2 linked regions of the Arabidopsis thaliana genome follow. The protein of the gene in region 2 interacts with the protein of the main gene of each other region in a pairwise test. Each region holds a gene or a part of one and is shown on either strand. Other genes may lie near its edges.

Evidence for each region. Proteins that work in one complex are often made in the same cells at the same time.
Region 1: the proteins of AT1G04650 (region 2) and AT3G27120 interact in a two-hybrid assay, tested with the Arabidopsis thaliana proteins (one study listed by BioGRID).

The regions. Positions count from the first base shown.
Region 1 is NC_003074.8:10,002,466-10,006,219, forward strand, and holds the start of AT3G27120 (P-loop containing nucleoside triphosphate hydrolases superfamily protein), read right to left. Parts: upstream 1,842-3,754; 5' UTR 1,817-1,841; coding exon 1,392-1,816; intron 1,118-1,391; coding exon 979-1,117; intron 849-978; coding exon 561-848; intron 443-560; coding exon 207-442; intron 1-206. UniProt on the Arabidopsis thaliana protein: Involved in DNA double-strand break (DBS) repair via homologous recombination (HR). Limits class II meiotic crossover (CO) formation by regulating the invasion step of meiotic HR.
Region 2 is NC_003070.9:1,297,320-1,301,073, forward strand, and holds the start of AT1G04650 (holliday junction resolvase), read right to left. Parts: upstream 1,705-3,754; 5' UTR 1,585-1,704; coding exon 1,537-1,584; intron 1,245-1,536; coding exon 1,152-1,244; intron 938-1,151; coding exon 803-937; intron 765-802; exon of another isoform or gene 716-764; coding exon 626-715; intron 537-625; coding exon 387-536; intron 217-386; coding exon 1-216. Other genes in the region: AT1G04660 (glycine-rich protein), read right to left, coding at 3,349-3,754.

The DNA.
Region 1 (3,754 bases), on a different chromosome or scaffold from region 2:
TAAATTCAAAAAATGTTTAATATAGAAACTTAGTTAGAGAAGGGCAGAGACAGGCATAGCCTATCTAGGTGAAAATCAAGAAATATTGACAAGAAAAACAGATTACATAAGCTTATTTATTGTCGAAGGTGAGGATATAAAAAGGGTGCATGTGCTTTCCAGTTTGCTAAGGATCTTGAATCAAAATAAGAAATTACGCAACTAACCATGTTCTGGTTGAGTCATCCAGTGCATCGTCAGTCTTTCCACCAATACGAGACGTCAAGTTTCCAACATTATTCCCATTAGTTTTAACAGGAGGGACAAAATTACTACGGTATCCACGTCTTAATCCACCCGACCTTGAACCATAGCCCCTACCTAAAGCATTTTTGTCACTCTGTGGAGAAAGACATGAACTTGGTGACTCAGTTGATCCTCGTTTTTGTCTTACATCCATTTCCTAAAGCAACAGATATAGTAGTCAACATTAGCAAAGGGTAATAAAGCACAGTTCGAAAGAAAAGACTCTGCAAAGTCAAGATGACTCTAAGAGAAGTAATTGTCATGAATAAATCTACCAGTTTTATTTTGGCGGATACAAATCCATTAGGAGCTCCATCTTCCTTTACTTCCCCATCATTTGCAAGGCTACTGGTTTCTGCATGAGGTCGCTTTGTTCCAAAACCAAATCCATGACTTCTCTCAACAATGACACATTCATCAGAGGCACGGTCTTGATTGTTCACTGAAGTTTTGCGCTGATTATCTGGTTTACCAATACTGTTTCCATACAATGATGTCAGTTTGGCTTGCATCATTGACTTTGGTGCTTTGGGAATCAACTTATCCGTATCATGCCGTTCTTCCTGAAACAAGAAAACATCTATGAAATCATAGTAGAAACAGGAAGCAAGACATATAACATGGCTGTGTTTCCAAAACTCATCACCAATACTAAGATCATTGAAGAAATGAAGCAGTTTACAAGAGCATTACCATCTCTTTAACACCCTTTCCGTTAGATTGACTGACATGAAAACCAAAGTACTTAGACTGCTTAATCTTTTCCACATCAAATCCACCTTTGCTGCCAAAAATTGCCCCTGGAGCTGTATTTGCAAGCTCAAACGCCTTCCTGGATACAACAAGAAGCACACCATAAAAGGGTACTCTAAAAATCTCAAGTGTAGCTAATATTGACGATAATTCAAAAAGATCTTTAGATTTCAGCTAGTAACTAAGTGAACGAAGTCCAAAGATTAGAGAATATCACTCAGTTATACATTTCCCTGATTCCAATACCCAACAATTCAAGCCACACTCATAAGACTCTACTAAGCTAAGCAAGTAAAATTCGAACCCTCTCTTCTTCGAAATTAAACAGGCTCAAAGGGGAAAAGCTCAGGTACCGATCCGAATCTGAAACGAGGCCTTCCAAAGCTAAATCAATCTTAGAGGCAACTTCACGACGAATGGGACCAATGAAATCACGATCGGCGTCAGTGACAGAACGAGAATCGAGGAAACCTAGAAGACGAAGCCCAAGGATCTGAGCAGAAGAGAAATCAGATTTCTCCAGGAATTTGTCGGCGCCGAAGAGCAGCGATTGGAGACGCTTCAAGTTCTCATCCACTTCCTTTCTCCAACACGGCGTCTCCGTTTCTCCTTCCTCCTTCACATTCAGAAACTCCGGTGGTGGTCTCAGTAACGGAGAAGAAAACGGCGACGAACGCTTTCCCGCCATTATCCTCTCTTCCTCTTTCCCCAAATGCCCAAAACCCCAGAAATGAAATTCAAATTCGCGCTCAGAATCTGAAACCACCGACCCACACATTCCTTTACTCTCTCACCAGCTTGACGCGTAGAACGTCATGCAGTGTAATAGTGTAGATAGAAACGGCGTGTAGTTTCCTTAGAAATCAGTTGCTTATCGGGCCCAGTTTCTTCATGGGCAATAGTAAGCCCGTTATTGTCTGTATTTTGGGTTTTACTGTGTTTCGGATATGCTTCCTCTAAACTTTCGTCTTTATTTTTTATATTTTTACATAGAGAATATTAGGCACTTAAAAATCATTAGGCACTTTGACTAATTGCAATTACTTGTTTACCCTCAAATCGTCGGTTATATATAACCAAACAAATCAAACCCATTTTCATTAAACCAATTCCGGTTACGAAACCCACGATTTTGATTTTGCAGTTACCATAATCTCTTGTTTTATTTTTTCCGGAACTGTAAAAAAAAACAAATCCAGAAAAAACCTAAACTACAGTTTCAGAAAAGGTGACTCCGACGACGGGATATCAATCTCCTCCGTTACTGTCTACCACCACTACGGTTTACACTACTTTCTTTCTTCTTCTCTCCACCGTAAAACTCCAATAATCGATTTCGTAATCTCAACCACTTTATACCCTTGTGACTTCGGCGAGGGGATATCAATCTCCTCTTTAATGGATTTGGATTTCGTTACTCTAATTCAACTTCAATTGAGTAGATTTCGAGAAAAAGTTCTTGAATTACTAAGGTAAAGTTATGTGATGTTGGGTTCTATATTCTTTGGTTTATCCAATTTGATATGGCGTCCGCAAATATTCCTCGATTCGAATCTTCGGCGATCATAAATCTTGCACTGAATACTATGGAAGAGAAGCTACCAAGATCGCTCAAGAATCTCGACTTGAATACGAACCTTGTACCAAAGATTAAGATTCTTCTTTCAGCTTATCTATCTTCCTCACGTAAGTCTCACTTTCAACAATTTTTTTTCTCGAGCTGGGCTAAATTTGGTGTTAAGCATGGCTGGTGATATTTAGGAGTTGGAATTTGACAAAGTTTTCTACTAGTTTGCTTCAATCGCTGGAATGTCTCCATTGAAATCGAAACCTCCATCTCTTGTGAGATTATGTTATTAGGAAACATTTAGAGGAAATGATTCCTTGTTTAGCTGAAATCTATGTTATATTTCCATAAAGCGACGTTTATGTGAACAAATTTATGTGGACTTGTTATCATGGATATGTTATGGACAAATTAGTATTTGAAATTGTAATTGACGGTTGTGTAACGGATTGTGTTATGGACTCACCATTCTCGTAACATGATTAAAGATAATGAAACGAGATTGACTATTGATAATTGTGTGTTTATTAAACTTTCGCACCGGTGAAGAGATTAGTCCCTTGAACTTGTGATTGTTTATGTTATATCTTGAGATGTTTGGTATTTAAAATCAAACTTTGACTTGTATTTAAAACTTAAAATCCAATCGAGAAGATCTAGCAGTGTTAAATGAACAGAGCTTTGTGGACAACGATATTTGGACACGTTTCTTTTTACCTTCCTCTCGTACTTTACTTGAACTTGTCTCTAAGTTTGCTGTCAAATTATATGGCTTTTTGAGTATTTAACGTCTCGTCAATGCCAAAGTATTCATATCAAATGAACCATTTCAAGTGTATGATCCAATATAGATTAATTGAACACCAAAAAATTCATTATATGCTTCTATTTCCAATGTTGTGGTATCCATTTTGTATTGTCCATATGAACAATGTACTTTTGCAGGTTCGGTGACCATTTTTGTATGTTGGTTTCCTCTTTTGTACCCAAAATAGTTTCCATCGACTATTAACTCAAAAAACTATTTTTTCAATCTCTTTTTTTCAATAATTTTGGGTTTTGGTTATCCTTATAAATCATAACTATTCTTCAATTTGTAATTGATCCGTACAAGTATAACTATATATGGTCAACACGAAATGGTCGCTT
Region 2 (3,754 bases):
CAATTCACTCAGAGATTTAACTCCCAGCGTAATCATGCTCACCAAATTACCCACAGCGTTGCCTTCCTCCATCCTTGCCTTTCCTACATGTCCACTCGTCTTCATTTCACTTACCTCACGATTCACTGTTTGAGAGTATTCTTTGCACAGACGAACAGTAGAATCAATTACCACTTGCACAGCCTTAAAAATCTCCGAGGAAAAGGATTCGACTTTCTGTCTCATAGAAAGGTGAAAGTTATTAACAGATGACAACAAGGCAAAACAATAATCTCAAGTTGATTCTCAACCTACAGTAGTAATTTCAACAAAACAAATGTTAAAAATGTTTCATGATATGGTACGTGTAGTTACTAGCGAAAGATAAAGATGATTTTCAAAGATACCTTGGAATTCATTATCAACTCCTTTGTCAAATTGAGCTGCTCTGAAACAAACTTATGAACTGTAACAGCTGAGGCATCATCAGTCATGAAACAAGTTTTTCCAATAGCAGTAAAGCTTGAGGCAGAAAAACGAAGATAATCCAAAAGAAGCTGCATAACATTGATTGAATAACTCAGTCCCTTCGAAACCATAAGCTGCGACAGAATCCTACTTCCAGAACCAAAAAGCATCAAATAACCTGAAAGAAAATGTTGGAATGCTCTTCCTCTTGAGACTCCTCCATGGACATAACAGACATGTTTAAATGTTTGGCACACCATTGGCTTACCTAGAAGAAGTGGAATAAGAAAAGATAATACAACACCCCTCCAAAATTGAGGTTGAGCAGTAAGCAATAAAAATGAAAACATTGTACCTTAATAGCAAAAGCAAGAAAGTAGTGTGAGCAATCAGGCCGATCCAAAGCGAGGTATTTTGAAGCCACAGGCAGAATCGCCTTGTTCAACAAACACAGGGAAACGTCAAGACATGTGAAATCTTCCCAGAGTGTCTATACAGCTGTCAAGGAATACTTGGAAACAAACAAACAAACCACTTAAAGCATATATGAATCCAAGTGAAACATGCAAATAAGCAGATATAAGTTCGTCACTTCATTATCCTGAATCCAACCGTCACATAATGGATATCCACATCTCAATTTTAAACATAGTATAACTGAAGATATTGAAAATCAGCAAAACTGATGAAAAGACTGGGGATACAGTTAGGCTCTCCACAAAAGAAGGCAAATCAGAATTCTCTTCAACATCTAACTGACTGAGCCGCGTGAGTAATTGAGCCCGATTCTCGATAAGCTGTTGAGCGAACAATGAAGAAAACGAAGCTCGTTAGATCCATGAGCTACAGAACTCAACTGAATCCTAATCACTCTATATATACATTAAGCTGCAGAAACTTAATCGGAAGGGAAATTGATAAGAAACATCACAAAACCCAAAGCAATCAGAAGAAATTTCTCGATTTAACAGAGAGGATTCGTAGAAATGACTACCGGAAGCGATAAAATCCACCAGAAGATTTTAGTTGGAAAAAATATACAGAAACCTAGAAAATCAAATCAAAGGTGGAAATCAAAGAGAAGCTTACATCAGAAGATTTGATCTCTTCGAGTAACTTCATCGCATTCTTCTCCATCACTCACTCTTTCTCTCTCTCTCTACAGGGAAATTTTGTTTTGGCAGTGTGAGAATCTCTCTCTAGGCTTTAGCTTCCCGCTCTTTACATTTCGCCTATATTGGAAATTTTCTCTGCCTTTCGCTTTTCAATTTTTGATTTATTAAACAAAAACAAATTAAAAAAAATGGAATATAAAAGATATTTTGAGGCCCGTTGGATCTAATTGGGCTTTGTAAGTAGCTCAATTTTCACTCGATGATTTTCAATTCGGTCCACCATTAAAATTGAAACCCATATCAAATCCTTAACAAAATTATTAAAAAAAATACCACAAACACCAACCAGTTCAGTTTTCTTTTCTATTTTTTTTGGGTTTTGCTTTTTTTACTACAATATTTTTAATGATTACAAAATTATAAATTGTGATTAATTTTACTAGCTAATATATATGTATATATATACAAATGCAAACGAATAAAAATTTGAAGGGTGTATGTATACGTCGTAATAAATTGCATGAGATGTAAATTTAGAGGTTGTGACAGCGAAATAGACAATAGAGAGGACGATGCATGAAATGGGACAACAAGTGTTTGACATGCAAATCCTATCTTCTTTAATTTGTGTCCCTCTCATCCCAACGCAATTATTACGTCATTTATTAGTGCTTCCTTTTTGTGGATTCTTGCTGTCTTCCTCCCACAATTAATGTATTTTTCCTATATATTTTGGATTAATATACACTAGATCATTTGCAAAGAAATTTCCAACCATGATGAACCATGCATAGTAATTAGTAAATAGGCGTTATTTATAGGGGTAGTACAATCTCAAGTTCTGAACAAATGTTCATTGTTACGTCCATCTTAAATATGTAAATTAAAAGTATGAGTTCAAACATTTCATACGAAATTACGAATCATATGTGTCAGTGTGTAGTAGATGGCTGAATGCATTATTGTGATCATCAACGAGGAAGTGTGTAGTAGATGGCTGAATGCAATATTGCGATCATCAACGAGGAAAATAATCCGGATATACCAATATCCAATGTTTTGGTTAGTTTTATAATATATTAATCTTCTATATAGTTAACCTTTGGTTAATAGATTAACATTTTTACTCAATTTTACTATATATTAATTCGTTTCTAATGATTATCGAAGGACTTTTTGAACCAAAACTCATATGTCTTCTCTTAGTCGAGATCTTTCAAAACCCTTGACCAAACTCATATATATATATATATATATATATATATATATGTTAATTTTACGGGTTTTACCACTTGGATATATATACTAACTTTTTTTTTTTTTTACTATATACTAACTTTGATATCCGACTTATTTAGAGTTAGACAGTGCAACAAAAACGAAATCTATACACTTTTTACATGTAATGTATATATAGTGGAAAAAGTTTGTACTCCATCCATTTTTGAGTGATGTTTTCATATTTTAAATATCATTACAAGTTCAAACCAATTTCATTTTCAAAAAATATCTCGTCGGAAACCTTGATAATTCCTCTTAATTAAAAATTTGTCTTTGAACATGCAAAAGTATGGAAGAAGAGAACCTCCTAAACCAAAACGATTCAAACATAGAGAGTCGCACATTTCATAACACCACGGCCGAAATCAAAGCAAACGTTACAAAAGCCCAAACTAGAAAATAGATCAAAAGTCACCCTAATGATCACAGAATTAAAAGACCAACAATAACATCGAAACTAATTAATTATTCCTTAATTAAAACCCTAACCAACAAATACTCTCTATTAAGGATGTGGATCGATCACACCACCGACCACGCCGTGTCCACCACCGATACCACCACCAACACCAATACCACCAGCCTTACCGAGACCACCAACTCCACCTAAACCACCTCCGGCTCCGCCTAGACCACCTAAACCGCCAATACCACCGGCTTTACCAATACCACCGCCAACACCACCTACACCGCCTAAACCAGCTCCACCTAGACCGCCAACGCCACCTAGACCACCAACACCCCCTCCAACACCGCCTAGACCGCCAACACCTCCTCCGACACCGCCTAGACCGCCAACACCGCCTATACTATGAAATCCACCGATTCCAGCTGCACCGCCTATGCCACCATACTTACCGATCCCGCCAAGACCACCGATGAGTGGCATCCCTAGACCTCCCACGCCGGCA